2 linked regions of the Oryctolagus cuniculus genome follow. The protein of the gene in region 2 binds, or shares a complex with, the protein of the main gene of each other region. Links are inferred from orthologs where the notes say so. Each region holds a gene or a part of one and is shown on either strand. Other genes may lie near its edges.

Region 1 (3,648 bases), on a different chromosome or scaffold from region 2:
TGATTTACCCCTAGAAGAACTCTGCCATCTGGGACTCATATTCTGTGTGTGTTGTCTGATCAAACATATTTTACATGTTCTCATTTAGATCTTTGCTCTCACCTCCCCTAGCCCCACTCATGTTTAATTTCTGAAAGTGCATTTGTCCTAATTCTGAGGCCAACTCATTCCCTCGCCTTTCCCCTGCCTTAAAAAACTGCTACCTGTTACACGGTGACAACACGTATTATACTAGTACAGAAAATTCGCCTTCTCTACCTACACTTCCATTGGGAATTTTTAAAGGACACTTTGCTGTTCTGTAAAAATTTTACTTCAGCAGCCCTTCATGGGGTCAATTGAAGATCTAATGTTTAAAGTTGAATTAGTAAATATATACACACACACACACACACACACACATACACAAATATATATGACTGTTGTTATTTTTAAATGATTTCATTTATTTGAAAGGCAGAGTTACAGAGGGACAGACAGAAAGAGGTCTTTCATCTGCTGGTTCATTCCTCAAGTAGCCTTTATGGCCAGGAGTGGGCTGTGCTGAAGCCAGGATTCTGGAGCTCCATCCAGATCTCCTGTGTGGGTGGCAGGGGCCCATGCAGTTGGAACATCTTTTTCTGCACATTAGCAGGGAGCTAAATTGGAAGTGGAGCAGCCAGAACTTGAACACTCCTAAGGAATGCCTATCATAATTACATTATCTCTGTATTATGATTTATTTCAACATTTCCTGTTGTTGAATAGTTAGGATTTTTTACAATATAAAATAACTCTAGAAGTAGATTTTCTCAAAAGTTCTATCTTTGAGATGTTGTGTTTAATGTGGATTTATAGAAATGGTATTACTGAGACAAAGGCCATAAAGGTCCTTCATTCACATTGCTAAATGTGTTTCCAGGAATGATCACTTACTTTCCTTTTGGTCCTTGTTTTTCAAAGGCCAGGCTAGTTGTATTGTAAATATTTCAGGGGCAGTGAGCTGCCCACCACATCTCAGATCTGTAGAATACAGATTTAGTATCATGTTGTAGAATGATTTTTATTTTCAGTGTATTAGTGGCAGTGTCTTTTATTTATTTTTTATTTAATTTTTATTTTAGTGTATTAGTGTATTAGTGGCAGTGTCTTAGTAAATTTTATTTATTTTTAGTGTATTAGTGTATTAGTGACAGTGTCTTAGTAAATTTTATTTATTTATTTGAGAGGTAGAGACCAAGAGAAGGGTCTTCCATCCACTGATTCACTCCCGAAATGGCCACAGCAGCTGGAGCTGAGCTGATCCGAAGCCAGGAGCCAGGAGCCAGGAGCTTCTTCAGGGTCTCCCATGTGGGAACATGGGCCCAAGCAGCTGGCCATCTTCTACTGCTTTCCCAGGGCATAGCAGAGAGCTGGATCAGATAAGGAGCAGCTGAGACTTGAACCAGCACTCCTGTGGGATGCCAGCACCACAGGCAGCGGCTTTACCTGCTACACCACAGCACCGGCCCATAAATTTAATTATTTTAATTGTGAGAAGTACTTTGCTTCACTGAACCCATGTTAAAATCACTTCTGCAACATTTAGCAAATACCTATCACATGCCAGGCCTATTGCAGGACCGTGGAGAAGTAAAAATGAAGGAAATGTTTTCTGCCTGCCAAAGAGTTGAGAGTCTAGAAGAGAAAGACCCCGATCACCTAAATACTTGCTGTGTAATAAGCTCAGTGTCTGTAGGGAGCCTGTGACGCGCTGATGGAGGACTGAAGAGGGAGTAACTTTTGTACCGAGCCCTGAAAGGAAGACTAGACTGTTTCAGGTGATGTAGGTGCTGAGTCCCTCTCAGGGAGATGGAGCACTTCTGGGTGTAGTAAAGATTATTTGCAGCGTGAAAGGTAGCACAATTAAATACTGAACTCCTGAATTTCCAGCCAATTTTAATTCTCTTTCTAGGATAGATATAGCTGCTGTGCCTACCTGGTGAACATCCTTAGTTGACTGATATTTTATGCTTTTTGTTTTTTCAATCTTCTGTTGTCAGTCTATTTTTGCATTATGTAGATTGGTAGAATAAGTGGGCTTCCGTCTACACTCACATCCAAAGGGCTTGGCAGTTTCATGGAACCCATTTTCTCCTCCACTGTCCCTGGACGTCACGTCCATTTAGTCTTGGCATGAAGGATCTGTGTTGGAAAAATACAGATTTCTTAACAAAGGACTGATGCCATTCTTTCTTTCTCTGAAAATATTTATTGAGTGTGGGGTCATGTTATGTTATTTGGTCCTGATAGGTGATTTGGTCTTACAATACTCAGAATGTTGCCTTGCCACTGTAAAAATATTATTTGGATGTTTGGCCTAATTGGGATGCTTGCATCCCGTATCAGAGCGAATGGATTTAAGTCCTGGCTCCACTTCAATTCCAGCTTCTGAGAGGTTCCCCAGGAGACAGCAGATGATGGTTTAAGTAATTGGGACTCTGCTACCCAAAGGTCACCTCGATTGAGTTCCTGACTTGTGGTTTCTACCTTGCCACGCCCTGGCTGTTGCTGGCATTGGGAAGTGAACCAGTGGATGGAAGATTTTTATCTCTTTATTTCTGCCTTTCAAATAAAAAAGTAAATTAAAAAATTTTTAAAGACGCCACTTAGGTACCCACACCTCATATCAGAATACCTAAGTTCAAGTCCTAGCTTCACTCCCAATTCCAGCTTCCTGCTAATTTGCACCTTGGGAGGCAGCAGGTGATGGATCAAGCACTTGGGTCCTTACCACCGACATGGGAGACATGAATTGAGTTCTTGGCTTCTGGCTTTTGCCTGGCCCAGCCCTGACTGTTGTGGTCATTTGGGGAGAGAACCAGTGGATGGGTTCATTCATATTTCTCTTACACACATACACACTCTATTTCTCTCACCACTCTCCCCTTCCTTCCCATTCTCTCCCTCTCAAAAAAAAATAATAACTGGTAGAAATATATAAAAACAGACAGTGTTGGGTTATTAAAAGTGATGATTAACTACTAATTAGATGTCATAAATTTTGATGATTCTTTTTAAGACACAGTGTGGATGTCTTTTATGACTTTTTTATTTTTATTTTTATAGGATGAAAGTTAAAAAACTGCCCATGATTCTAGCTCTACACCTGAAGAGATTTAAGTATATGGATCAACTTCATCGATATACAAAACTTTCTTATCGGGTAGTTTTTCCTTTAGAGCTTCGTCTGTTTAACACGTCAGGCGATGCAACCAATCCTGACAGGATGTACGACCTTGTTGCTGTTGTGGTTCACTGTGGAAGGTAATTGCAACTCTTAGGATGTGGTGGAATTTCTAGCTTAGTAGGGCCAGTGCACATGCAGGATGTTCGCTAGTGATTTGCATGTCAAGCTTTTGGAAAAGTGAGTTCATTTCCAAAAGGACTTTTCAGATACACCTTTACATCATTGCTTCCTTAAAGTGTTATATATTAAAACATTACTACCTTGATTTGTATTCTTACTGTTTAACTCTCTCTGAATATTGCATCTGAGTTCCTAGGACTTTCACATCTGTGGGTTTTTTCTTTTCCTTTCCTTTGTGTATGGGGATGAAGGGTGGTTGGTAAAAAATGGTGCCTAGATAGATTTTGCGAAGTCAGTCATTTCTGAGATTAATTGAATAT
Region 2 (3,648 bases):
GATCATCTCCACTCAAAATCTCCATTCCTTCACTGCCTAACTGCCACTCAACCCACTCCATCTGACTGTTGCCCACAGAACTTTCCAGAAGCCTGCTCTCTTCACTGTAAGATCCACATGTGCAGTCCATCCATGTCCTAAACGAGTGCAGCAGGCTGATGTCACTAACTACCAGCTCCTTTCTAAAACACTCAATTAGTTCTGGAGCTACCATCAGCCTTTGTTCTGTTACCACCCTATCAATTTAAAAAAGAACATTTTACTTATTTGAAAAGCAGAGTGACAGAGAGAAGGGAAAGAGAGAGAGAGACTGAGTTCTCCCCGCTGGTTCACTCCCCATCCGGTTGCAATGGCAGGGGCTGAGCCAGGGCGAAGCCTGAGGCCAGGAACTCCAGCTGGAACTCCCACACGTGTGGGAAGGGCCCAAGTACTTGGACCATCTTCCGCTACTTTCCCAGCTGCATTAGAGGGAGCTGGATCAGAAGCAGAGCAGCCAGGACTTGAACCAGTAGTCTACGATGGGATGCCAGTGTCCCAAGCCATGGCTTAACCACTGTGCCACAATGCCAGCCTCCTTTTTCAGACCTCTGTGGCTTCCTCTTTGTCCCACATCCATGAGGAGTAACAACTGCTTTCTTCTCTTCTCAGCCTATATACGTCCCTTGGAGACTCCTGACACTTCCCATGACACCAACACTACTACTACAATTAAACCTACTACAATTAAACTTCCCACACAACAACTAGGGGGTTCTGCCATGAAACCAAACTCACTAAGCACCTGTCTCCTAATGGATTTCCACACAGCTGTGGCCCAGGGAGGAAAAGTGGTGGGGTCAGGCCAAGGTTCCTAGTCAGAGACAGCTCTCTTTTCCCCAGTAAGAGACTTGCTTAATTTACTCTGTAGATCATGAAGTCAACTTAAGTGAATTTCTCTTCCTTATAACCAGGAGCGTAACGACAACACAGGGTCTTCTCAGTTCTTCATTTGTAATATGCCCAACGTCTGCTCCTTTCTCTAGATCCTCACATTATTATGCTTAAGACCACGGTCACCCAGCTTCCACTTTCTCATCACACAACACTACGACTGCACTGACCACAGGCTTCTCCTGCTCTAACATTATCGAAGATTCTTCAGGAAGTACCCAAGAAAGGCCAAGGCGGGGTCCTGCAACATCACACTCTTTGGGAAATGACCTAAAAGGCATGTTCCATCCTGATACCCCCGCAGCTCCCTGACATTACTCTCATCTCCAAACACAAAACCGCTCACCGTGGACTAATTAAACGTACCCCTTCGCTCTTCTGGGCCTTCATCATTCACTCCTTCCTGAAATGCCCACCCGCTGGACGCCTGCATGCCCTGGCTCACTGATGTCTCCACCATGCGGCTCTCCTGACTCCCCAAGTTAAGGAACCACCCTTGGCCATGCGCCATCCTGTGATCTGCTCTCACATTCTGTTCTTCTCCCTCCTACCAGAAGGCTCCATGCTACAGACTTTGCCATCAGTCATGATCCTCATGACAGTCACTCAGTCCAGGAAATATTTGGACAAATGGATAACCAATAACTACACTAAAAAGGGACATTTATCAAAATTATAAAAGCAGACCTGTGGCCCGGAAAGGCAGTGGAGGATGGCCCAAGTACTTGGGCCCTGTACCCACATGGGAGACCAGGAGGAAGCACCCAGATCCTGGCTTCAGATTGGCGCAGCGCACTGGCCATAGCGGCCATTTAGGGGGTGAACCAACAGAAAAGGAAGACCTTTCTCTCTGTCTCTCTCTCTAACTCTGCCTGTCAAAAAAAAAATTTATAAAAGCAAACTAACTTCAATCTGCTTAGAGTTTCTTCAGTGCTTTTTTGAATATGGTTGATTGAATAGCTTAACACATCCCAACTGTGCCAGAGAACCATCCTCATAACAACGAGAGCTATAAATAGTGCTTACAGTGGTCGCTGGAAATCCAAGACTCCAATACTCCTACTCTAGTGGTTCTCAATGATTTTGTGCCCTTCTTTGTCCTTCTTCCCTGCAAACATCTGGCGATGCCTGGATGTCACAGCGTGGAGGGAAGGAAGCACCTGTCACCAGCACCGAGTGGGAAGGGGCTGGGGATGCTGCTCAGTGGCTGCAGTGCACAGGACAACTGTCCCACTCCCCACGGCCAAGGAACTACCCAGGCTTCATAAATACCACTGCTGAAAGCGTGAGACATTCTGACGTAGTTAAGGTAAGGCAGACTATAAGAGTTTGTAATAGAATAACCAGAGAAAAGATTTTATTTAAACAATTTAGGTGATTAAAATGATGAGCTGTGGGGTGGGCACTGTGATGCCGGGCTAGCTGCAGACTGAACTGGGGTGCCTGGGATCAAGGCCCGTACCCGCTTTCCATCCAGCGCCCTGTTAACATGCCTGGGAGGCGAGAGAGGATGGTCCAGGTACTTGGGTTCCCACCACCCACCTGGGAGATCTGGGTGGAGTTCCTGACTCTTGGCTTTGCCCTGGCCTAGCCTCAGCTGCTATAGACATTTGGAGAGTGAACCAGAAAAATGCATCTCTCTCTCTCTCTCTCTCTCTCTCTCCCTGTCACCCTACCTTTCAAATAATTAACTAAATAGACCTTTAAATAAAAAAAAAAGTCTGTGGCTCTATCTAACATTCACATAATAAAGTATTACCAAAATAAGATATGACAATTAAATCTTTATCTATTATCTTCATTATCATAGTACAAAATGAAAAACAAAGAACATGCCCTAATTAAAAAGGCACTCACCTTCAATACATCCCAGTATGCCACATTATTATTTGTATCTTTGGTTAATATATGTCTCTTATCATTAAGAATGTGGCACTGAATAATACTGGCACCCCCTACAGGAAAAATAAAAACACAATTAGCACAATGATCCTTCTGCATTTAAAGTCATGGTGTGCTACCTGGCCTGCACAGGATCACACCCGTCAGAAGGGAAAACCCGAAGACTGCACAACTAACCCAAGGCGCGTCACTTTCGCTTTCCTCTTCCTTCTTTTTGCAGGCTCCTGAATGGATTCTATGCTAATGATGCCTACACAGACACCTCAACTAGGGAGGAAGGTGGATGCAAGATTCTAATCCCAAGCTAGGATATCAAACACAGCCTGGCTTTTTGTTTTGTTTTTTTGCCACAACCAGCTGTAGCGTGTAGAACTTAAAGACCACATCTGTCCTTTCCTGGCTATGCCAAAAAACAACATGAAGACCTTCTATAAAGTCGCTGTTGGCTTTACCATGGCTATTCTGACACTGGGCAAAAAACAAGACAAAAAACCTAACTCAAGAAAGCCCATTTTAAAGTGCCCAAGCACCTAAAGTCACTAAATATTTTAAAATAACTTTTTTCTTGTACTAAAATAAATACATGATTAGCCTTTAGTTTACATCTAAATTATATTAAAAGAAATCTTCATTCCTGTTGTTCTGTTAGTAACAATAAACTCCAATCAAAGTACACTACTTCTAATTTCCTTACCTTTAATAACCTGGTCAGGCTGCGTGCAAAGGGGCGTTATAGGGTTTGTGCAGTCATTGTCGTAATCTCCTGATGCTCTGAAATTATGGATTCCTTTCAACGTCTAAAGGAACAAAATTTGT

The links. Proteins that work in one complex are often made in the same cells at the same time.
Region 1: the proteins of WDR48 (region 2) and USP12 are in contact, whole or in part, in a crystal structure (PDB 5K1C), measured with the Homo sapiens proteins. The link is inferred for Oryctolagus cuniculus from reciprocal best matches to the Homo sapiens genes WDR48 and USP12. Residues at the interface, in NP_065890.1 of Homo sapiens: Arg50, Trp77, Asp118, Tyr119, Lys121, Leu137, Ser170, Tyr172, Thr188, Asp211, Asn212, Lys214, Ser230, Gly254, Trp256, Arg272, Ile363, Ile364, Leu424, Lys425; in NP_872294.2 of Homo sapiens: Arg185, Leu187, Thr188, Cys189, Glu190, Thr191, Ser227, Lys230, Cys236, Arg237, Ser238, Lys239, Gln240, Glu241, His243.

Annotation. Positions count from the first base shown.
Region 1 is NC_091440.1:87,430,205-87,433,852, forward strand, and holds part of USP12 (ubiquitin carboxyl-terminal hydrolase 12), read left to right. Parts: intron 1-3,087; coding exon 3,088-3,285; intron 3,286-3,648. UniProt on the Homo sapiens protein: Deubiquitinating enzyme that plays various roles in the regulation of the immune response and inflammation.
Region 2 is NC_091441.1:108,262,819-108,266,466, forward strand, and holds part of WDR48 (WD repeat-containing protein 48), read right to left. Parts: intron 3,630-3,648; coding exon 3,527-3,629; intron 2,886-3,526; coding exon 2,788-2,885; intron 1-2,787. UniProt on the Homo sapiens protein: Regulator of deubiquitinating complexes, which acts as a strong activator of USP1, USP12 and USP46. Enhances the USP1-mediated deubiquitination of FANCD2; USP1 being almost inactive by itself.